3 linked regions of the Alligator mississippiensis genome follow. The protein of the gene in region 3 binds, or shares a complex with, the protein of the main gene of each other region. Links are inferred from orthologs where the notes say so. Each region holds a gene or a part of one and is shown on either strand. Other genes may lie near its edges.

What was found.
Region 1: the proteins of CAPN2 (region 3) and CAPNS1 are in contact, whole or in part, in a crystal structure (PDB 1KFU), measured with the Homo sapiens proteins. The link is inferred for Alligator mississippiensis from reciprocal best matches to the Homo sapiens genes CAPN2 and CAPNS1. Residues at the interface, in NP_001739.3 of Homo sapiens: Ala2, Gly3, Ile4, Ala5, Lys7, Leu8, Ala9, Arg12, Glu13, Glu16, Phe60, Arg366, Arg416, Arg417, Arg418, Arg420, Asp494, Ile516, Phe551, Glu575, Lys578, Val581, Asp582, Asp585, Gly588, Ser589, Gly590, Gln641, Leu642, Gln644; in NP_001003962.1 of Homo sapiens: Thr85, His86, Ser88, Asp111, Asp112, Met113, Glu114, Ser116, Thr118, Asp142, Arg145, Ser146, Ala149, Val150, Met151, Asp152, Ser153, Asp154, Thr155, Thr156, Gly157, Gly160, Phe161, Glu163, Asn206, His208, Leu209, Met212, Ile213, Arg215.
Region 2: the proteins of CAPN2 (region 3) and CAST are in contact, whole or in part, in a crystal structure (PDB 3BOW), measured with the Rattus norvegicus proteins. The link is inferred for Alligator mississippiensis from reciprocal best matches to the Homo sapiens genes CAPN2 and CAST. Residues at the interface, in NP_058812.1 of Rattus norvegicus: Glu62, Leu63, Ser68, Lys69, Gln99, Gly100, Ala101, Leu102, Gly103, Trp106, Lys161, Asp162, Leu165, Leu166, His169, Ser196, Gly197, Gly198, Thr200, Ser241, Asp243, Ile244, Thr245, Asp249, Ser250, Glu251, Ala252, Val253, Val259, Lys260; in NP_445747.2 of Rattus norvegicus: Glu571, Leu572, Asp573, Ala575, Leu576, Asp577, Glu578, Leu579, Ser580, Ser582, Leu583, Gly584, Gln585, Arg586, Gln587, Pro588, Leu596, Asp597, Asp598, Lys599, Val600, Lys601, Glu602, Lys603, Ile604, Lys605, Ala606, Glu607, His608, Ser609.

Annotation. Positions count from the first base shown.
Region 1 is NC_081838.1:1,007,849-1,015,765, forward strand, and holds the start of CAPNS1 (calpain small subunit 1), read left to right. Parts: upstream 1-4,848; 5' UTR 4,849-4,958; intron 4,959-5,673; 5' UTR 5,674-5,698; coding exon 5,699-5,895; intron 5,896-6,836; coding exon 6,837-6,870; intron 6,871-7,524; coding exon 7,525-7,614; intron 7,615-7,827; coding exon 7,828-7,885; intron 7,886-7,917. Other genes in the region: transmembrane protein 87A, read right to left, coding at 210-274, 423-528, 632-817, 1,522-1,560, 2,002-2,058, 2,177-2,296, 2,425-2,510, 2,661-2,721 and 1 more. UniProt on the Homo sapiens protein: Regulatory subunit of the calcium-regulated non-lysosomal thiol-protease which catalyzes limited proteolysis of substrates involved in cytoskeletal remodeling and signal transduction. Essential for embryonic development.
Region 2 is NC_081826.1:238,529,173-238,536,668, reverse strand, and holds the start of CAST (calpastatin), read left to right. Parts: upstream 1-4,476; 5' UTR 4,477-4,581; coding exon 4,582-4,635; intron 4,636-4,932; exon of another isoform or gene 4,933-5,006; coding exon of another isoform or gene 5,007-5,036; intron 5,037-7,496.
Region 3 is NC_081824.1:181,599,447-181,606,823, reverse strand, and holds the start of CAPN2 (calpain-2 catalytic subunit), read left to right. Parts: upstream 1-4,312; 5' UTR 4,313-4,457; coding exon 4,458-4,694; intron 4,695-7,377. UniProt on the Homo sapiens protein: Calcium-regulated non-lysosomal thiol-protease which catalyzes limited proteolysis of substrates involved in cytoskeletal remodeling and signal transduction. Proteolytically cleaves MYOC at 'Arg-226'.

The sequences.
Region 1 (7,917 bases), on a different chromosome or scaffold from region 3:
CATAGCACCCCCAGGCCTCCTCCCCAGCACAGCACCCCCTGCTTCCCCCCCCAGCAGAGTGCCCCCTGCTACCCCGGGTTCGGTCCCCGCCAAGCTGGCCGGTCTGCGGGAGCTGGAGCTCACAGTAGCCCCTCAACCACACCACATGGGGGGGGCACAAGGGTCTGTGGTACACCCCCTTGATCCCAGCCCTCCCCCCCCCAGCTTACCACCATGAGAGGCCACTCGGAGGCAGAGATGTACTGGTACACGGGATGCTTCATCTGGACTTGGACTGGGGAAGGACCGGGGGGCAGTGTTATTATTGGGGGGGCAAAGACCCCAGCCCCACTTCTCTGCCAGGGATGCGGCCCCCCCAGCAGCAGACCCATCCCTCCCAGCTTCCATAGCACAGCAGGCTCACGCCCCCTCCCAGCACTTACTGGAGATCTCCCAGCCGGCAGGGGGGGGTGGCTCCTCGCTCTTCCCCTTCAGTTTCAGGATCAGCACGTAGGGCCCGTCGTCCCACGTCCTTGCTGTGGTGTCCACCTGGGGGGGGATGCAGAAGCCCAAGTTACCCTCCGGGGTGGGGTCAGGGGGGCATAGAGCCCCCCCTGGCCCTCCCCAGAAGCTCGGCACCCCAGCCCCCAACCTTGGATTTCTCCTGGGCTCCAGACAGCGCCACCTTGGCCTCCCCACGGCTCTGGTTTCGCTTCCCTATCATGGCGGGGGGCTCAGTTGCTCGAGTGGGCACCAGCTTCTGCCCTTCGACCTTGTCCTTGGGGGACTTCTCACCCTGGGGGGCCAGGGCTTCCCTCCGCTGAATGCCCACGGGCTGCTGGAGAGAGAGAGAGCGGTACCTTTGCCTCAGTTTACCCCACCTGGAATCCAAGCTTCGCCTCACCCATCCACTGGGCGGTTACAGCAACATCCACGCATGAAAACAGCTTGTATTCAAGCTGCCTCATTACCATATTTCCCCGTGTACCAAGTGCCCCCCCATAAGCCCCACCCCTTGTTTTTGGAAAGCAGCACAGAGGGAAACGAGATGTTTCCAGAGGCACAGCCTGGTGCCACAGAGGAAGTTCTCCTGGAAAGACAGAGCGTCCAGGAAGCGTGTGGCATCCCACAAGACTGGCAGTAGACACTTCCTGGACAAGGGAGGGCTGGGGGGAGGGCAGTGGTGCAGTCGTACCCCGCTCTGATTCCTGCCCCAGCCACGCTTGAAGAGCAGCTGGTTGGCAGAGGCAGTGGCTCATAATCCTGATTCCTACTAATCCTTTTACCTCCCAGGGGGTTAATGAGGTGCTCACACAAGACAGGTGAGCGGTACATGAAGAATTACGGTAACGTAACGCGCTTCTTCTACTCAGCCCCTGGCTGCCCAGAGAAGCAACTTCTGCACTAAACCCCCCTCCCAGCGAGGCCCCTGGTCTGCCACAGAGACATGCAAAAGGGGGGGGGGGGCAGCATGGGAAGATCCTGCCCCCGGGACTCCCTAAGGGGGAGAGTCGTTAACAAGGGGGTAAAGCCAAGACCCACCTTCTTCCCGCTGCTGGTGCTTTCCTTCAGCTGAACCCTCTGGGCATGCAAAGCAAACAGGGGTGTGAGAGAGGCCCCAGGGCAGGGATCCCACTGCTTCCACCACATACATCAATGCTGCAGGGCGAGGAGGGGGGTGGGGGGTGCACTGGCCTAGGTGGGGGAAGCTGAGGCAGGGCAGGGAGGAGCTGGGGCTGCTTCCCAGTGGGGGCCAGGGCCCAACGGGTTTAACATGAAGCTGGTTGAGGTGAAAGAAGAAGCCTGGAGGAGCCCCCAAATGCATCCCATGCATTGGGCTCCCCTTCAAGCTCTGAACAAGCCTGACCCAGCTTAGCTTGGGAAGCCTGACAGGCTAGGAAGCTAATTACAGCTGGCTCGTTAACACCCAGCCAGCACCACTCCCACCCCAAGGGCCAGAGGCAGCAGGGAACAAGGCGGGAGGGGGGACGCGGGCAGGACTCGGACACCCGAGTTCCCTACCTTGGGGTCACTGTAGGGCTTCAGCCGGGTGGGGGAGGGCAGTCGCTCCGTGCTCAGCTGGAGGAAGGGCACAGAGGCTCGGTGAGAAGAGCAGCAGGTGCCGGGGGGGGGGGCGGTGTCGTCCCCCCGCCCCCCCCACGGCCAGGGACCCCCGCCCCCCCGGCTCGGCTCTCACCTCGTGGCTGGACATGTGGCTGCAGTTGAGGAGGGGGAAGTGATGGAGCACGTACTGCCCGGCCCCCCCTGGCACCAGCTCGCGGTCGGGGTTGGCCAGGTAGAAGCCTGCTTTGTTCTCCTGGGGGCGGGGGGGAAGGGTGTGAGACGGGGGTGCAGGGAGAGCGACCCCCCCAAGCCCCACCTCCCTCTGAAAGAGCCCGGGAGTCTTCCCAACCCCCCCCCCCCGACCCCGGCCGGGGGGCTCACATTGAGGGCGACCTCGTCGTGACAGCGGGAGCTGCGCAGGTACCAGGTGACGTTCAGGCTGAGGCCGTGGGGGCAGGACAGCACCACTGTTAACGAGGGGCTGGTCAGTGACCCCCCGCTGCAGGCACCCCCCAACCCGCTCCCGTGCTCTGCTTTCTGCCCCATCCCATGCTGCTTCCTAGCCCCTGCTCTGCTTTCCGCTCCCTGCCCCTCGAGGCGCCGGCCGCAGCGCTCACCCTTGATGACGGACTGGTCGAACATGGTCTTGGGGAAGATGAACAGCCGCTCCGTGAGGTTCTGGGGGCAGAGACGGGCAGGATCAGGCCTCTTGCTCGGGGGGGGGTGGGGGACGGACACACGCACACACTCCTGGGTCCCATTCCCAGCTCTGCTCCACCCCGCCGTGTGCCTCAGTTTCCCCCACCAGGATCTGGCCCTGCCAACAACCCCCCCAACCCCCCCCCCGCAGCAGGACGCCTGGCTTGGGGGCGTATCGCTGGGCAACTGGAGGCTACCACCCACTTATGCAAATGAGCCAGCAATAAATTTGCATGTTAAACAGGCAGTGATCTCCCCCAAAGATATGGTAGAGAAATTTCTGACTTCCCACAATGCCCTGGGGCAAAGCAGGCTTCCTGCTGTCTCTCCATTCCCACATCTATAGGGGCCTGGGACAGCCCTCCTCCTATAGAGCCCCTCCCTCGCAATGCAACCGGGACCCTCTCTATACGGTACGGAGAGCGCCTATATGGGGCCACGTCCGTCGGTGATCGAAGCGAGGGGTCCTTGTCTATAGGTGAGTGGGGGGGTCCACTCCTATAGCAGACTGGGGGAGTCCATGTCTACAGGAGACTGGCAGGGGGAGTTCCTTATCTATAGGGGATGGGGGGGCAGTTCCTTGCGTATAGGGAACATGGGGGGTGTTTATGTCTATACAGGATAAAAGGATAGTCCTCGTCTATAGGGGACTGAGATAGGAAACCATCTTTGTCTATAAGGGACCGGGGGGGGGGTCCGTATCTGTAGGGGACTGGGCGGTGTCTATAGGGGACCACGCACAAGGTAGATCCTGATCTACAGAGGGATCGGGGGATGCACGTCTATAGGGGACCAAAAAGGGACCTATATCGATAAGGCACCAAAAGGAGGGGACGTCTCCATTAGGGACCATGGGGGGGGTTGCCTATAGGGGATGGGGGGGGTTGCCTATAGGGGACCAGGAAGATCCTTCTCCATAAGGAACTGGGGGGGGTCCATGGCTACAGGGGACCAAGGGGCAAGTGCCTGTCTATAGGGGAGGGGGTGTCTCGTGGGGGTCCAGGTCTATAGGGGCCGGGGGGGGGCTAGAGGGGAACACCCTCGCCTATAGGGGCCGGCGGGGGGGTCGCTCCGGGTCGCGACCCCCGCCCCCGGGGCCCACGCCCACGTGCGCGCTTGTGGGCGGGGCCATGTCGCGCCAGGCCCCGCCCCGTCGCGCCAGGCCCCGCCCCCGGGTGACTCACGAGGGTGGCGCCGAGGTCCCAGCGGCCCGGCTCGGCCCCAGCCCCGCGGCCCGGCCCGGGCAGCGCCAGCGGCAGCAACAACGCCACGACCCGCAGCACCCGGCACGGCCCCGCCGCCGCCATCCTCTTCCGGGCGCGTCACGGCCGGGGCGGGGCCAGCGCGGGCCACGCCCCCTGCTTCCGCCGGGAAAGACCCGCCCCCGCTTCCGGCGATAAGCTCCGCCCACAGCCCCCTCCAGGGACCGGCGTCAAGTGCGGGCCGCGCCGAAGAGGGATGCCAGGTCCGTAAGGGACCGGGGCAAAAGTGCCGCCCCGGGGGAAAAGCGAAGAGCTTGCCCCCGCCCCCCTCCAGCGGGCCTCAAGGGACCGCGGCAAAGTGCCGGCCTGGCAGAGGGGCCAAGACCCTTCATTTTACCCTTATTTTACCCGTCTTTAGGGACCGGGGCAAAGAGCCCCCCCACAGCCCGCCCCTGCACCCTGATGCCAGGATCGGGCCCCGGACCCCTGGGGTCTCCCCCCCCACCCTCCCCGCCGTGCCTCAGTTTCCCCACGTGCCGGGACTAAAGCGATGCCCCCCCTTCCCCAGCTCGGGGGCTGCGGCGCGGGAAGGGTTAACGCTTTGCCTCGCAGACCCCGCGGGAACCGACCACGTGGGCGATGACGCACAGCCCCACCCCCCCATGCCAAGTGGCTGAGTCAGAGCCCCCCCCCCCCCCCTTGGGGGGCCCGATCCGGAGTCCGGCCGGGTCTGCTCTAACCACTGGCAATCCTCCCCCCCCCCCCCCCAAGTCCGGCCCGCGGCAGTGTGGGGGGTGGGGCAGGACGCCGGGTGCCCGGGGGGCGGGGCGGGGCAATGGGGGGTGGAGCCGGACGCCGGATCCGGGAGCAGGGCCGCGGGCGCTAGGACCCGGCGGCGGCGTGATTGGCTCGGGCGTGGCAGCCCCCCCGCCCCCCGCACGGCCCGAGCGGAGTCGAGCCGAGCCGTGCTGAGCCGAGCCGAGCCGAGCCGAGCCGCGCAGCCCCGACCCGCAGGTACGCGATCCCGGGATCCCTGCCCCCCCACCCCGCAGTACTACCCCGCACCGGATCCCCCGGAATCCGGGGGTTCTCTGCGCAGTGGATCCCTGGCCCCCCCGGATCCCCCGCCCGATCTTTCTTCCGGGATCCCCCGCTTTTGCTCCCCGATCCCCGCCTCCTCTCTGCACGCGACCCCCCCCTATCCCCAGCATAGAGCCGATCCTAGTGGATCCCCCCCCGGCACCCTCCTGTTCTCCTGTCGCACTGGATCCCTTCCAAGGGATCCGCCGTTACCCGCACCAGATCCACCCCATGGCTCGTGGGGGGACGGGACAGACCCGGGGATCCGCTCCCCTCTCTCCAACGGGGGAGGGGTGGCAGGGATCAACCCCCCCCCCCCGGCCTCATGGCGGGGATCTAGTGATCCCCTCCCCCCCGCCGCTCCCTGCAGCCGACGCCCCGAGTCATCCCGCCCTGGGCTGCGGCTGCGGCCGGGGCGGAGCTGGGCGGACGGGATGGGGGGGCAATCCTGGATCGGGGAGGCAGAGGGGGTCCCGGAGCCCCCCCCCAGCACCGACAGTGTTTTGTTTCCAGGAAACGGGGCATCCTGCCCCCCCCCCGCTGCCGAGCAGGGCTCTAACCACTCCTCCCCACTCCCCAGCCCCGGTGCACCCCCCAGAGAGCCCGGGGGGCCAGGCCGGCGGAGCTGACCGGTGCCTTTGCCTTGCAGCCGGTGCCCAGCTGAGCCCAGCGCCATGTTCCTGGTCAAGAGCTTCCTCGGTGGCGGCGGCGGTGGAGGAGGAGGCGGCGGTGGCGGCGGCGGCATCGGGGGCAACATTGGCAACGTCATCGGGGGGCTGCTGAGTGGCGGTGGGGGTGGGGGCGGAGGCCGGGGCGGCGGCGGTGGCGGAGGAGCCATGAACTTCCTGGGGGGAGTCATCAGTGCCATCAGGTGAGTGCTAGAGGGGGAGAGCCAGGTAACGTGCACCCATTTTCCAGGTGGGAAAACTGATGCATGAGGCCCAGCAATACCCCCCTGTTGTTCAGTTGGGGGGGATGGGGGACTGAGGTACGGGGCAGGACAGCACTTAAGCCCAACACCCTCTCCCCCCAGGGGTGAGGGGGAGGCCAGCCTGCGGACCCCCGTTCAACGTGGGGGGGGGCTGAGACCTGGCAAACTCATGGCAGGCCTGGCTGGAGCCTGGCAGCTGTTCAAGGAGGGATTTCCTCCTCACCCCCCCTCCCCCAGCTGGCAATGAAACGCACCCATTTCTGGGGTGGGGCCTGGCCCGGGGCTAGGACTGTTCCTGCTGGCTACCCCCCAGGTCTCTGGGTGGGGCTGGGTTGGTTTCAGCATGGGGGGGCGGGGGGCTCCGGTCCGCTGAACAGCCCCACCCTGCTTTGTCTCGGACTGGTTGGGCCGGGTGCTGGGATGCGCCCGCCTCTGGGGTGGGCCCTTGTGGCTGGTTGCACGGTGTTCCCCCCCCACTTGGCTCTGAAATGCGCCCACTTCTGGGGGGAGACTCGGCCTTTCTGCGCCCAGCACCAGGACCCAATCCCACTCCACCCCTCAGACCGACCGGGTCTGTCATGCCTCAGTTTCCTCTTCTGTCTCCCCCTCTGAACCTGCCTTGTCCGGCGCCTGAGGCGGGGGCTGGGCGTGGGGTTCATGTCTTCCTTCCCCCATGTAGTTTTCATCCTTTGGGGGAGTCGGGACCCCCCAGAGCCGGGCACAGCCTCTCTCCTGCTGTGTTTGCACAGCTCCGAGTGCGGCGGGAGGGGGCCCGATGCTTGTTGTAGCCATGGGGAAACTGAGGCATGGGCCTGGTCTCTCCTCACCGCTCCTCTCTCTCTCTCTCTCTCTCTCTCTCCCTCTCTCCCCCCACCCCGCAGTGAAGCGGCTGCCCAGTATAACCCAGAGCCCCCGGTAAGACCCAGTGACCTGCTGTGGACACGTGAGAGATGGGGTGGGGGGGGGTCCACCGGGGTCCTGGCATGTCTTGCCTAATGTGGGGGGGGGGTAAACCTGCTGTCCTGAGGACCCAGCCATCCTCCCCCTGTGCCCACAGCTGGGCTGCAACGTGGCGCGTTGTATGCGAGGAGGTACGGTAGGATGCAGGGTCCCTAGACCCCCCCCACACACACACAAGGTCCTCGCTACCGTATCTTCTAGTGTACCACATGCTGCCCCCCTCCCCCTTCCACATAAGACCTGCTCCTGATTTTTGAGCCCACCCGAGGCAGGAGCCTGTGAAATAGGAGCAGAGAGACTAGGGGCAGCCAGCGCCCCCCACCCCCCAGTTTTAGAAGGAGAATTTTTAATGAGGGGTGTGCATGGTAGGCAGGTAATTACAGTAAAGACTGGGGCAAGTTAAAAGGGGCTCAGATCCAGTGCACGGCCCCTTTAACCCCCTGTGGGGGTGTTGACCCCAGGCCCCCTCCCCAAGACCTTGACATCAGTGCCTGAAGGGATTGGGGGGGCGTCTGCGACCCTTTGGCGGGTGGGAGCTAGCCCCTCGTGGGCTTCATGCATCCCCAGGCAGGGGGAGAGATGTCCTGACACCCCCCATTGCCCCCGCAGCCCCCCCGCAGCCACTTCTCCAACATCGAAGCCAATGAGAGCGAGGAGGTGCGGCAGTTTCGGAGGCTTTTCACCCAGCTGGCTGGAGATGTGAGTACCTCCCCGGGCCCCCGCAGCTATGGGGCCCAGATGGACCCAAACCATCCCACAATCCTTTGCAAAAGGCTTCCCCTTCCACACCCTGCCGGGATGCAGCTGCTTCTGGGGTGGAGCTGGGCCCTGGGTTACACTGGGCAGCTGAGTGCAGCTGGGGGGGTGGGGGGCACTGGGGCAGGGGGTGACCCCCTTCTGCCCCCCCGGCAGGACATGGAGGTGAGCGCCTCGGAGCTGATGAACATCCTCAACAAGGTGGTGACGCGACGTGAGTGACAGCGGGGGAGCCGGGCGCCTGGT
Region 2 (7,496 bases), on a different chromosome or scaffold from region 3:
AGGGAGCTCAGCTCCACCATAGCCACCAAGGTGAGGCGCAGCAGTGGCAGCAGTGTGGAGTTGTGCTCCCCACTGCTGCCAGGTGGGCAGGGTGCACCTCACCTTGGTGGTCAGGGTGGTATGGCACTTCCTCCTATGCTAAGTCCTGCTCACTGGGCTGTGGAGGTAGCTCCTGCCCAGACCTCGTCCAGCCAGGCTATGACCCCATGCCCCACACCTCGCTGTGGGCACAGAAATCTGGCAGAGCACATGGTCCCCCCCTGGCCCCTGCCACATCGTCTATGCCTCTATGCTGAGTTGCCTATAACCGCTACCCTACTTCTGCCTCCCTCCCACCATGTTGCCTGTGCCCCCCTGCCCCTCTACACATTGTCTGTGTCCTCCCACTCCTGCCTGCTTAGACTTACCTGGAAGGAGCAGCTCTCCACCAGACTGCCTGGCTGCCACGTGCATGTGTGTGTGTGCACATGCACATAGCACTCCCTGCCCCCTGCATCCTGCTCCCTCCAGCTCCAAGAAGCCCCTTGCAGACTGGAACTCTGCCAGCCTGCAAATGGAAACCCACAGTTTCCTGCATTTTTCTTCCTCAAAGGAGAAAATCTGCGCTTTTCTCCTTCAAAGGAGAAAATCTGTGTTTCCCCAAAGCAAACGGCAAACCCAGGTCCCTGCTCATGAGTCCTGACTGGCCTAGGAGTAGGGCCAGGGCCCAGAGAAAAGGGCCAAAGACTAGGAGGTCACAACTGGGGACCAAGGGGGCCAAGGTACTTCTAGTATGAGAGGGGTGAGAACTGGGGCTGGGATCACATAGCCCAGGAGGGGCACGTGACACTCATTCCTCCTGACATATGCTAGGTGTGAGTGTGGTGTAAGGGGAGGTTGGAGCCATGTAATTAGCCCTTAAGCCAGTAAGCACAGAAACCTAAATTCATGAGATGAGATCAGGCTTGGGAAGCCCTGGGGCAGCCTCCCTTTTTCTAAAAGAGAATAACATCAAGGTGTGGCAGGAGAGAATACCCAAAGACAGCCAGACTACACAGTGGCTAAGAGGGCTCCAGGGGCATTGCAGCCACCCCTAGAGTGGAACCCTGTTACAATCAGCATATGAAAGAGTTTCTAGGTTGTATTTGCTTGCAACAGCAAGGGATTAGATTTAATCATCAGAACCTGTCCAGTTATAAGCATAGTTAGGGATACATAACTGTACTTAGAAAATATACATTTGTATTGTGCATATAAATACTGTTTTACCCAAACACATAAACAAACGTATGAATACCATTTTAGTTATACAACTTTGGAGGTAGGTTGAGATCTATTTGAGTAACTATTTAATGAACTGGAAGGCTCCATGGGCTCTCTGAGAGATGTCTGACTATTTACATACACATCTAACTTGTCAATGGGATTGCTCTAATGCTTAGTTAGGCATGTGCCTAAGGGATTTGCACTTACATTGACCACTCATCAATAATTGATAGGCTAATGACCTCAATTATTGGGGTTTCTCATAGTCTTGCCTTATCACATGGTTTCAGTCCTAGAGCTCAAATTTCAGCTATCAAGAGCAGGGCAATACAGGGTGTGGAACTGAAGCAGGTTCTGTCCTCTTCCTGTAGTACTGTGCTAGCAGGGAGTATCCTATGCACTGCAGCCTCAGGAATGCAGTACAATCTGTTAGACCTGTTGCTGTGACCAGTTATTTTTTCGATGAGCACACAAAAGATTTATGTTAAATTCATATATTAAACTACTTATAGACATCCCCTCACCTTTATCTTCTCCTTTCCATCCCACCCACCATCCTATCTCTGCTGCATACTCAAGCTGTCTACAGTTTAGACAGGGCATAATTCTTGCTTGTGGCTAGTTTTTACTATGGGGTGCGGTCAGAAGAAGGCCCTCAGTTTATTTGTACATGGGACTTCCCTGTCGACCCCCCCCCCCACTTATATTTCCGCCAGTATGGTTTGGTTTTTTGTGGACTTTACTGACAGCCATTTTTAGCCTGATGTTTTACTGACAGTTGGCAACCCTGGTTAGCAGCAGCTTAACTGCAGAAGCAGGGGGTGAGAGAGATACTAACCCCAGGATCTAATTTAGATGGATTTGGTGCTGGAATGGTAACTTCTCCCCAAGACTTTGCTGGCAAGAGCAGTCCATGCCCCTGGCTGTAGGGGCTAGGTGCAGGGACATGGCAGCAGCAGCAGCAGCAGTCTTTGAGTCCCTGGAGTAGGTAAGACTGACCTTTTTCCTTTCTTTTCTCCTCCAACCTCAATTTCTGGTGCTCAGAATCTGACAGCCACCCAGGGACGTTTTGCCCAGTGTGCAAAACTTGTTAGTTATGCTCCTAAATGTTAATCAAGCTTTAAGACTCCAAGTGCCAAACTTCAGATCTGAGCAAGGAGGTTGAAGGATCACCCCAGAAGTTGGCAGATTGCTAGCTGTTTGAAGCAGAAGACCAGGCAGCTATTTCAAGTTAAAAGGGAATAGTGAGGCATTTCTGTTTTATTTCTGTATTTTTGTGTCCAGATCTTTTCCCTATGTTTTTCTCTTAAGCCCCTGCTACACATTACTTATATTATGCAATTAACTGGTTAATTGCCCAATAAATTTAGACTGGTCACCTGTGCAAAGCAAGACTGGCCACAAGTGCAAAGCAGTTATCACACAATTAACTGGCAAATGGCACAATAAATTTAAACTAGCTACATGTGTAAAGTACTAATCACACCATAAAAATGAGTCTCCACCTATAAAAAGAGCCAACCAGCTATAAAGATAGTGCTTGAAACTGTGTGACAGCTCTGTAGTTAGTTTCTATCTGGCTTTAATTTGAATGTGTAGTAGGACTTGCAGGCAATAAACCTGTGGTTTCAGGGGTGTAGGTTGTAGCTGTCTTGATCTAAGGACATAAGCAGACAAGGTTTTATCAGACCAACTCAAATAGTTGGAAAAATTCTTCTTAGTTAGCTTTTGGGCACAAACCCCCTTCGTCAGGCTGAGGCAGTATGTGCAGATGGTCTCTGCTTTTCCTGGATGGAGTGGTAAAGTGACCTCTTCATTCACTTCATCCAGGAAGAGCACAGACCATCTGTAGATGCTTCCTCAGCCTGGTGAAGGGGGTTTGTGCCCGAAAGCTTAAGAAGAATTTTTCCAATGATCTGAGTTGGTCTGAAAAAAGATTTTGGATTTACCCCAAGAACCTTGTCTGCCTATAAACCTGTTGTGGCCTTTTCCTTTTACATTTTGTCTCGAGAGTGATTCTGCAGCAGCAGCTGGCAGCAGCAGATGTTTTGGTCCCTTGGGGCCAGCAGACCTATTTTCACAAACCCAGGGAACCCCAAGGCCTTGCTGGATCTCCTTCACAAACTATAAGGTCTGGTCAAAGTGCCTGTGAGCAGTGACAACCCTAGAAGGGTGCAGGACCTAGGGAATAGCAGTCTGCATGGGACCTAGATGTGAAGAAGCTGGTGGTGGCAGCGGCGGGGGGTGGCAAGCAGCCGGACATGAAGCAAGTGGCGGCGTGGAGTCACTAGCACTAGGCGGGCCCTGCAGGAGGAGCCATGGCTGCTCAGCTCTGCGTGGGCCCCCCAAAGCATGGGGCCCCAGGCAGTTGCCCCGATTTGCCCCCCCTAGGGACGGTCCTGCTGTGAGATTGAGATGTGCTGGCAGGAGAGATCTCCCACGACCAAGAGCTGGTTCAAGCTCTAGCAACACAAAGCAGAACAGCGCGGAGACAGCCTGGAGCTGTGGGGTTACCCCACAAGTCTGAAGTTAGGGGCACGTTATGCTTGAAAGCTTGTCCAGCATCTTCCCCCAACTACTTTCCAGCCAATCCAATAAAAGGTACCTGCAAAAAAACTCCTGGCTTCTCACAAGAAGTTTTATGTCAGGATTTCCACTGGGAACTAAATCTGGAAAGTGCGCAAGAGATGTAAAACCTGAAAGAGTAACCCTCTCAACATCTTTTTTTTCCCTTCGAAGTCTTGAAAAGAGTCCAAGTTCGGTCTGAACTCTGGGCAGAGATCTAGTTTTCCTCCTGTTTTTAGAGTGATTTTGGTACTTTAAAAAAAAACACGGACATTTGGGGAGGTGGGATAGGAGGAAGGAAAAGCGATCTTCTCGGCAACGTTTCCCTAAAACTAGCCAAGATAAGTTTCTTTCCGAGGTGAGGCCAGGCCTAACACAAACCAGCCGATCGGATCCGACTTCTAGGTTGGTGAGTTGGGGGCGGGGGTGGCCTTGTGTCATGAAGCCGGAGCTTTGTCTCAGAGAGAGGAGGAGAAAGCAACAACTCCTGTCCCGTCTCTGCTAGCGACTGAGGCCGGCTCTCAGGTCGCCTAGCGGGGAGCTGGTGTCTTCGCCAAGACAAACCGCCAGCGGGCATCTTGCCCTCAGCCACATCCCTCCCCCCCCCAGCCTGGTGCGGGCGAGGCCCCGAAAGAGGAGTGGTGCGGAGCACCCGCAGGAAGAGGAGGGACTAGCGGGGAGCTCTGGCTCGGGGCGCATCGGAAAAACCGCTTCACGCCCGGTGGAGCCAGCCCGCCGCTTCCTCCTGCCTCGCTCCGCCAGCGCCGAGACATGTCCCAGCCGGGCCGAGGGAAACGGGGGCCCGCCGCCGCGCGGCCGCCGGGGGTGAGCGGAGCGGGGCGGGGCGGGGGGCGCCGCGGCGAGGGGGCGTGAGGCGAGCCCGGCGACGCCCCCATGCAGCCGGCGCAGGGCGTGAGGGGGAGGACGACCCCGGCCCGTGGGGCGCGGGCAGCTCCGCCCCTCCCCTCCCGCAGCCATAGCGACGCGCGCGGCCCCACCCTGTCCGTGCCCTTGCGCCTGCCCCTGCCCTGCATAGCTGTGTGAGGCGGGGCGGGGCGGGGTAGCGCCGCGCCGCCCGTAGCTGCAGGGCAGGGCAGGGCAGGGCGGGGTGGGGTGGGGTGGGGCGGGCCGGGGCTGGGCCTGGGCTCCGTGCTCCCATTGCGGCTCCAGCTGCGAGGACGATCCGGCGGGCGGCGATGGCTTTCGCACGCTGGTGGTACGCCACGGTAAAGACCCGGGCTGCGCTTTGCGGGCTGGGGGCGGAGGCCGCCGGGGCACACCTAGGCCGCAGGGGAGGCGGCTCCGTGCCAGGAGGCTCGCGATGCGGCGCGGCGCGGGCGCCTAGTGCCTGGCTCCGGACCTGCGCCCAGAGGAGAGGCCGCTCTCGGCTGTCTGGAGCCCTACAAAATGAGGGCTGGAAGGGACGTCGGGAGGTCTAGTCCAACCCCCTGCTCTCAGCAGGACCAGCCCCAGCTAGGTCATCCCAGCCAGGGCTTCATCTACTCGGATCTTCAAAGCCTCTGAGGATGGAGACTCCCAAGCTCTCTCTGGGTAGCCTGTTCCTTCGTCCTCTTGTCTTTCAAGCTAAAAGCCGATGTTGAGCGGGATATCTAGCAGCTCGGAAAGGATCCTGCGGCTCCAGTGCCACCGTTTTGTCAAGCGTAAAAGGGGCTCAGGTGCAGTTTTCTCTTCCCCCCCACCCCCTTTTGTATTTGCCATGGCTTGGTTTTGCCAAAGGTCCTGCACCTATTTTGGGTAGAAAACCTGTTAAAGTTGGGTCTTGTCTTTTCAGAGCCCATGAAGTCTCACGTGAGACTTTGGCAAAGACCTGTCACATGAAAAAGATTTGTCTTTACAAGTTTTGCTGCTGCTTTTCATAGCTTTATAACAGAGCTTGCATTCATTCTCTTTTAGCCCAAAACATTTGGGAAGCCGAAATAAATGAGAGATCTTGTTGTTAAGGCAGAGTTAGTTTTGGGTGGCTTTTTCTGAGTAAGTTCCTGCGTGATAATAGGCTTCGTAAACTTGTTCCTAACTGTGGGGAGTTCCTTGATCTACAATGACTCTTTCTATCTTTCTGGGACCTCCCTAGGTAAACCACAAGTTTTTGAGTTTTGGCATAATCTGTATTCTGTACTTAAGCATCCAATGATTACTCTGACTAAACCTTCAATTACATCTTCCAAAAGGCCTGCTTTTTCTAATTTGATGTCAGTCACAGAGGGAAGCAGTTGTAGGGTGTCTGTGCCATCAAACATTCAATTCACTAATTTCCTAAAGTAAAACCTGCAACCATTGCTGATCCTAGGACACATTAGATGTGCTTTGCGAAGAGTTTGCTGGAACATAAATATCTAATTATACAGTTATAACAGTTTTCAGCCTCAATCCTAATTGTGAGTCAGAATTCAAACCAGTTAGCCAGTGTCAATGAAAGGTGGTTAGAACTGTGAGTCCCGGTGTTGGGCTGGATGTTGGGTTGGCTGTTATAGCTGGATTTAGGTGCAAGTATTGCATTAAACTTTGTGCAATGCTAACACATGCGGTAAAATCCATACACAAAACTAGGAGGGTCCCTGCTGTCCTGAGTCACTGAGTTTTGGATCTAAAAGCAAGCAATCTAAAACAAACTAAGCATGTGTTTCAGGGTCAGAAAATCACTTGCACTCATGTTTCATGGGAAATCAATTATCAAAAATATTTGCATCACAGTACCCTTAATGACTCCAACTGAAATTGGACTCTTGTTGTGTGAGATATTGTGCAGTCCCCTAGTAAGAGAGAGTTCTTCCCTGAAGACCTTATAACTTAAGTAAGGAAAGACATACAAAACTTAGAAGGGGAATAAGCAAAAGGCATGAAGTAGTTGTCGTGCTGGGTTTTAGTTGGTAACTGGTTCAAAAAAGAACTGGGCTTTTTGAAGTGGATAATAGATTTTTTTTTTTTTCACTAGCCCCTTGCTTTGGGACTTCCTCCCTTTTGGGCTTATATTAGATTTGTTGTTTATTGGTTTCACTGTTAGCATGTTGTCCTTGAGCCTGGAGAACTTTTTACTTGGGTCACTTGTTTTTGTAAATCTTGTATATCTTGCTGGTTGAGAAAGTAGAGTTGGTGAGTGTGGCTACCAAAGAGCATGTTTTCTGGCACTTTCGTACGCTGTATAGAGCATGTTAAAGTGATGAAAGTCTTAAACTGAAATTGTACACCATGGGTATCTCTTCTCTTTGCCTACTTTGCATAAATTCAAGGTAAATTGTAAAATGAAAAGTTTAGTATTTTGCTTGCTGTATTTTTTTAACTTTATATATAGTATAATATAAAAATGTTATGGGCTAATGTTAGACTTCATCCAAGACATTAAAACAATTAAAACAGCTGTAAGTTAGGTGTTTGCTGTGTCCTCCTTTGACAGAGTTGGAGTTTATGAATACAGTATATAACCCTGATTAAGAGGCTGTTTATTGCATGAATATGTTGGTATAATATGGAAAGGCTGGTTCAAGGTAAAAACTCACTTGGCAAAAACTAGAGGGTTGTAAAGGGAGGATGTGGTAGATATTAGTTCTGAGGACTCTGGCATTGGTATCCTGTTGAGCCTACTAGGCTGTTTTTGACCTGAAGGGCTAAAGCATGGGGGCAGAGTTAAGAACAAGATAAGGGTACTAAAAACAGCATTAACAAGTGGT
Region 3 (7,377 bases):
ACGGAAACCCTTAAATTGAAATGGTGGGTTTCAGTTAAAAACCCACCATTTCAATGTAGGGGGCATAGAATGCAACCCTAAGGACTAAACCCCCCTATATGTACAAGTGTCCTTTGTGTGTAGGGAGCTCAATACCTTCAATGACATCGCTCCCACAGTGTTCAAAGGAATCAGTAATAGCAGCTGGGAGTCTGCACATTGCATGAGCAGGGCAGCTCAGGCAGCCTATTCTTATCAGGGAGGGACAGTAATCTAGCCAGGCCTACCCATCTCTGCACCAACAGCAACAGCAAGGAGTCACTGCAGCAGCCTGGCTCAAGCCAGCTGTTATGCCAGGGCAGCTTTCCAAAGGAACTGCCTGGTACAGCAGAATACCTCGTGCTAGCCTCGTGGGAGACTGAGAGACCGGCCTCTTTGAATTTAATTCCACTGCTTTTCTTATTCTACAAATAAAAATCCACTATGACTGTTTTTTTGGGCCCTGGTTACAGACTAGCTGTACCTGTACAGTTGTCCTGTCAAGCTTCTTTGGTAACTTCCATGAGTTACTCCCTCCTCTGGGGAATGTTGGCAGCTCAGCTGGCCAGCAGTGGTGCTACGGCCTGGAAAAAATGAATCTGCACAAGCTTTCAATTGGGAAAAATAACTCTGGAATTTGGTGACCTCTCCCCTCCCTTCTATGCTCCAACTCATCTTTCAGGCAGGCGGGGGCAGGAAACCCTGAGCTCCACCTCACTAGCAGCTGGGCTGGGTATTGTGAAGTCCTTTTTTATAAGCCTGACCCCACAAACCAGCTTAATTCTGATTTGAATTGAAGGAATAACAATGGATCTGAAGCAAACCAAATTTCATTAATGCTGTCACTCTCTAAACTATGTGAGTCATTCAAACAAACTGCCCCTTTCTGGGAGGGTTGTATTGCTTTTACTGTCCCTCTTCCATGCGTTTTCTTAGTTGCAGCTGCCGCTATAGACACTGGAGGCCAGGGCAGTGATATGAAACTTCCCTTGGCTCCCACAGAGGCTTTGCCCAACCAAAGTCTACTTTCCTGGACCCTATGTATGTGGTAAGATTCAGGTTCAAGAGTGAAGGAATAAGTGTGAACAGCTGATAACACTTAAATGCGAGATCTGTACATGAGGAAAGCAGGGACAAAGTGAGATGGAATGGGTTTTATTGGTTGGCTTGTTAATTTTTTCCCCTGAACGACAAAAGAAACCTTTTGAAAGAGCCAGGGTTTTATTCTAGTGCCACCACCCTGTACTCACCCACGCAGCTCTCCTTCTAAATGGAATGTTACATTCGCTGCACCCACCAGGGTTTGTGATTCAGGCTGCAGAAGGGGTGAACAAAGCAGTCCTTGAAGGGTGGATCTGCTTAAAGACAGGTGAGGGCTGGAGTCTTTTACTGTTGTTCTTCACAAGACTGATTTCTGTGTGCAACCTCCACCATCAATATGATTGCACAGGGTGCACAGAAGTGAGCCCATAGCACTGATAAGTGCTGCACAAAGTGGGGTATACAAACCCCCAATATAGTAATAAACAGCTTGTGAGGGACCTGAGAGTGGTTGTTCAGAGAAGGACAGTAGCTATGATACCTACTGCCTGAACATCGTCTTTATGTTGATGTAATACTTCTCTATTGGGCCCCATTGCCCTGCTTCAACCAGTTTGTATCCTGCGTCAGGAGTGCCCTGTGGAAGGCCAGGAACCTCCTGTTGCACAGGCAAATGGATGTAGAGGTAGCAGGCTGCGTGAAAATGGCTCTGAGCGAACTCTAGACCTACTACCAGAAATCGGTAGTAGAGGATGGAGAAGACGCTGCCAAAGTCACCTGGCACAGAGACATGTGGCACAGGGTCATCCAACATCCCCCGAGTGGAGAAGGGGGCGGTGGCAGCAAAGAAGAGGAAGGGAGAAGCGGAACAGAGGACAGTGACCACAGCAGCGGGTCCTCTAGCAGGAGCTGGAGTGACAGCAAGAGAGAAGACACTTGAACTGAGTATGTGACCCTGCAAGAGGGGCAGGGATGGAAAGGAAGTGTTGCCTGGTCTGAGGGACCAGGATATGCTTTTTGTTTGGCGTGTGTTGCGCATGATGTGGATATTGTAACGGGTTCAGGTGGCCAGTGGGCCTTTGTACGGGTGCATGAGCGCGTTTTTTTGTAACTTGTGAAGGTTTTTTTTTCTTTTTGCGGTGTGATATGCGGAGTGTAGATATATATAATCTTAGAGAGAGGGAGAGGAAGAGAGAGAGAGAGAGATTTTTACAAAAAACAAACTTCTCTATTGGGTGCAAGAAGGCAGTTTTCCTGAGCCACTTGGCAGGAGAGATGCTCTTCTGGCTGATTCAGTACCCACCGAGGTGCAGCAGCTTTAAGCCCAGCATATGGAAATGGCAGTCTCCTCCCTTGCTTGCTCCCAGGACCTTATGGCTGAGGGCAAGCAAAACTTGAAGGTATCTGAACCCCAAGCCTCCGGGCTTGGGCCTGCATGTAGGATGCCCACCAAAGGTTTAGGAAACATCTGAAGCCTCAGGTGCAGGTGGAGGATATTTGCCGGTAGTAGGGTCATTTATGGTTCGACTCTTGGATTTGGAATTAGTTTTGGCTAATTTGGCCTTGGATACAAATTACATTTAAAAAAAATACTTCTCTATTGGGTATGCTGGGCTTGCTTGTGATTTAGCAAACTTTCCACATGACCTGGCAGCACAAGCACCCAATGGCTTGAGAGCCAGAACAGCAGAGGGCCTTCATTCATTGCATTACAGTATGTTGGAGAAGAGCGCAGAGCACTGACTGGGTTAGGATCCATGAATCAAAGCTTCAGCTGTTGGCTCCACCACAGACTTTGTATAATTTTGGGCAAAGCACATTAATGTCTCTTTGCCTTAGTTGTCTTACCTGTAAAATGTAGATCCTTCCTCCATCTTCTCTATTTAGATTTTAGGCTTTCCAGGGTAAGGACTATTCTGTACAGTGATTGGCACAATGGGATTGTGATCTTTAGGCAATAATGTAATTAACAATAATAGAGGTAATTGCAAATATCTTGTCATCTGGGACTGCAGGAAAGACAACAGAACAATGCATTATTTGTGGGGGCAGGGTGGAGAGACGGGAGAGGGATTATGCATGCTATTTGCATAGTAAACATTCAGTTTGCTGTTTTTCCTGGGTATTCTGTAGAGCATTGGTAGAAAAGATTCAAGGCTCCCTTCAAACATTTCGTACCCTGTCAGGAGGAAAGATCTTACATTTAATTAATGATCCTCCAGTTCCATTGATGCTTCAGTTCCCAAGGAGCCCAAGGTAAAATACCAAATACAGGAATGGCCCATTCCTTTTCAAGTGCAAACTTGTTCAGAGTAAAATGCAGAAAACAAAGGCTTCATATTCCATACAATCTGCATATACATCACATTTAGCATGTATCAGGGATGTCAGACTCACTTGACTCCCAGGCTGGTTTTTGAACTGTAGGGCTCCTCATGGGCTGGATCCAGGCTTACCTCTGGTGGTAGGGCAAGCAGCAGTGGCATTAGCCACTACAGGTTCCTGAGCCACATACACTCATTGTTTGCCCCTCCACTGCTGATAGATGTCCCCATTAGGACACTATGCTCCAGACTTTGGCGGTGGGCCCCACCTCACCTCCTTATTTCTGGCCCCTACAAGAGCCCCACAGGCTAGATGATATGGTTTCATGAGCCTGTTCTGGCCTATGTGCCATACCTTTGACACCCCTGGTCTTGACCATGAAGGCTTGTGTGTTGGTGCTAAAGTCCTTGGTTTTATTCCTGCTGACAACTCATGCCATTGTTCATGAATACGTGATGCACCATAGGGGATTTGAGCTGCTGAGGACTTCAGAATAAGTTTCCCTAGCAGTCAAAGTGTGCCTCGCAGTGGCTAAATGTGTTGTCCCCCCCTCTGACAAGCTGGCACACAGGGGCAAATTAAGAGCCTATGGCTGCTCTTCCTGACAACTAAGTCAAATGGCAGAGGTCCATGCTTTGGAGCAAAAATACCCCAGGATCTGTTCCACAGAGTGGGGATTATTATATTGGCTCGTGTAAGCTCCCTCTTTAAGGGAATGAACCTTTCTAAACCAGACAAGCTGCTTAAGAGGCTATGGTTGGGAGCGTCCCAATGAGGAGGATTCTGCCTTGCAAGATACACTGCTGGAAACAATAGACTCATCCGGGCACCCTGCCACTGACTCAAATCACAAGAGGGGCACCAGGAAGAAGCTGCATCTTTAAGCACTAGCCACGCCTGCTTTCACTGTTGGGTTTTTTTTGTTTCTCTCCGATGAATCACGCCCTGGTCTGGCTCCACACACTGCTGCTGCTGCTGTTTGCTTTAGGTCTCAGATGTCCCTCTGCTGAGCAGCAGGAAGGCTCGCATTTTTATGTTACCCGCAGAAGCAGCAGCAGCAGCAGAAGGCAAACATGTCTGGTATTGCAGCTAAATTAGCCAAGGACAGAGAAACAGCAAGGGGCTTAGGCTCCAATGAAAAAGCCATTAAATACCTCAATCAGGACTTTGAGACTCTGAGGAAGGAGTGCCTTGAGGCTGGGAAACTCTTCCAAGATCCATCCTTCCTTGCAGCTGCCTCCTCTCTGGGGTACAAAGAACTGGGACCAAATTCATACAAAACTCAGGGCATCGTATGGAAGAGACCAACGGTAGGATAATGGGCCCTGTGGGGAGGGAGAAAGGGAGATCAAAGGTGAACACCAAGTGATACAGTTACTGTATGTGCTTGCTTGGCTGAAAGCGGGGAGGTTGCAGTGATCACAGTGGGAATTGCTGTGGGTGGAGAAGTCAGGTATAATGGACCAAATTGGGCAGGACTGTGTGGAAATAACTCAATGCATTGGAGAATCCAACCTAAGTCTTCAATCTTGTCTCTCTCCCTAGTGATGGGCCACACCCAAACCAACCTCTGGCATAGAACTACCCCAGGCTTGGGTCTGGATCTACATTTATTATCTTGGGCCCATTTTTAGCAGGATAAGTACTAAATCAAACCTGACTGAGTGATAGAAAATGTTGTCCTGAAACAGAGGCTGAGAGTTCCCTTGTCTTGAAGGGCCCCCAGATAAATAGCAGTACTTGATTGTGTGCCATGTGCAGCTATCGCTGGAGGAGAAATACAACTTCTCTAAACTGCGGCACGCCACAGTGAAAACCTAGCTATTGATTGCGAATGTTTCCAAGAAAGTACAGTACTGACTTCTGCAGTAGGAATGTGCTGCCAGAGGACCCAGGGAGGCACTTGAGAGGTGTGTGGTGCTGTCACACAGCCAGGACTTGAGCCTGGAGATGTAGGAAATTAGGAACTCCATGATGTATAGAAACAGGCTAATCTCAGACGCCTCAGAGGTTTTGTTCGGATTTCTCCAATGCTCTTTGTTATAGAAACCTAGTTGGAAAGTTGGTAGGAAATTTGGGACTCTTAGGACTTAAATACTGAGGCACAAAAATGAAAATGAAGATTCAGTGGATTTTTTCGAATTGTAGCAAGATTCAGTTCAGTCTGAGCGAGCACCTAATTTACTTCTGAAGGAGATTTAAGTCAGAGCAATTGCTGAAGTCAGTGGAGCTACATGGGTAAAATTGATGCGAGTGGAGAATCACTCACAAACTTCTTATTTTAGTCGACTGCTTTGCTCATCCTGAGCTCAATACAAGTAAACATTTTTTTCCCTGTAAACTGGAAGCCAGTAGTTGAAGCCAGCCAGTTATGTTTATTTTCAGTGCAAGTATTCCAGGAAGTGAAAGGCATGTAAGAAAAACCACATTCATTTTTCTCTGTGCGCCCTCAGTGCTTTCCTATATATATAGCGTTGCATGTGCACACACATCTAGTGCAGGGACTTATACTCTTCTAGTGCCAGCCGGCTGTTTTGGGATGTGAGTCGATCCATTTGTCCACATTTCCTTCTTGACTATAATTTGTTTGGATACAGCTGGTGTAAGTAGGTATGAATCTGTGCCCAGCTCTTGCAAATTATCCCTGCCCTGAGCACCAAGCTCTGCACTCCCATAGGTCTCTTGTAAAATATACCTGTCAGGTTTTAGAAGTGCTGCAACGGGCTTTGCCCTTCTCAGAACTTGTACTTTTCCTGTGCCCCGAGCACTCGGGGTTGCTTGTGCCACCCTCCATTTTCTAAGTCACCATGATTTCAATTCAGTTTTCCCAGTCACACTGCCTTCTCCACCCCAACTTTTGAGCTATGCTTCCCTCTGCTTTTACTAATATAGAAAGGCAGCTGGGCAAACCCCCACCCCTTGCAAATCTTCCCCCAACAAAAAAACACCACAACCTAGTAGTACCCCGTCCCACCATGTTCAGCGCTCCTCCTCTGCATTTGAATAAAGCTGTGTACATTTGAATAAAGCTGTTCTAAGTGTCAGTCAGAATTCTGTGCCTTTGCAAAGGCCCTGATTTAGCCTTTGCATAACACATTTTAAACTCAAAAGAATTGCAAACAGGAAGGAATTTGGTCCAAAGACCATTGAAACAAGTCCAAGAACAAATGGAAAAATCTTCAGAGGCAGGAGCCCGATAACTAGAAAATGCAGTCAAAAGGCACTTTTGTGACAGGGCTGGTAGCCTAGGGCATTGGCGAATTCTATTTCTTCAGGAAGGAAAAGAATAAACTTCACCTGCTGTTTTGCCTTACAGCCTAAAATTCCCGGATAAACGTGTTTGCTTTGGTACAGGTCACAACCCATGCAGGCATTACATTTCTACCAGGAAAATCTTAGCTGTCCTGGTAGAAACCATGAGCATATAGGCATTCACAGAGTTTCTCCCAAAACAAAAATGGTGTTTCCAGGAGAAAAAATAATCCATCTCTGATTCTGTAGAGGTCACTCCTGGGAGGATTTCTCCCAGGGAATGAAAGCCTATACACTTCACTGCCACCTGACTCCTTCAGGGACCAGGAGGGACTGAGCAGTGAGGAAACACTTCCTACATCTAGACCAGGAAAGGCAAGGGAGCAGCTGGTGCCTGCCTCCTCCTAGTCCAAGGAGTAGTCAAGTAGTGGGGAAAGGCTCCCTGCTTTCCCTACACCAGGGTTACTGGGAGGGGAGGAACAGCTGCTGCTTTCTCCCTACCAGCTCTCTCTCACCAGGGTCCCGGTGTGAGGTGTGGGCATGGGACTTTGCCCCATTGCTCCAGTACCCCTGGGAGCAAGAGAACTGGAGCAGTCATTGCTCCCTATGCTTTCCCCAGACTGGGATCACCCTGGTCTAAGGAAGGTGAAGAGACAGGGGAGAGGGGATGGTTGCAGGCTAGATACCTGTACTGCTCCCTCTCCCGGAAACATTTCTAGCCGTGGAAAATTTCCACCACTA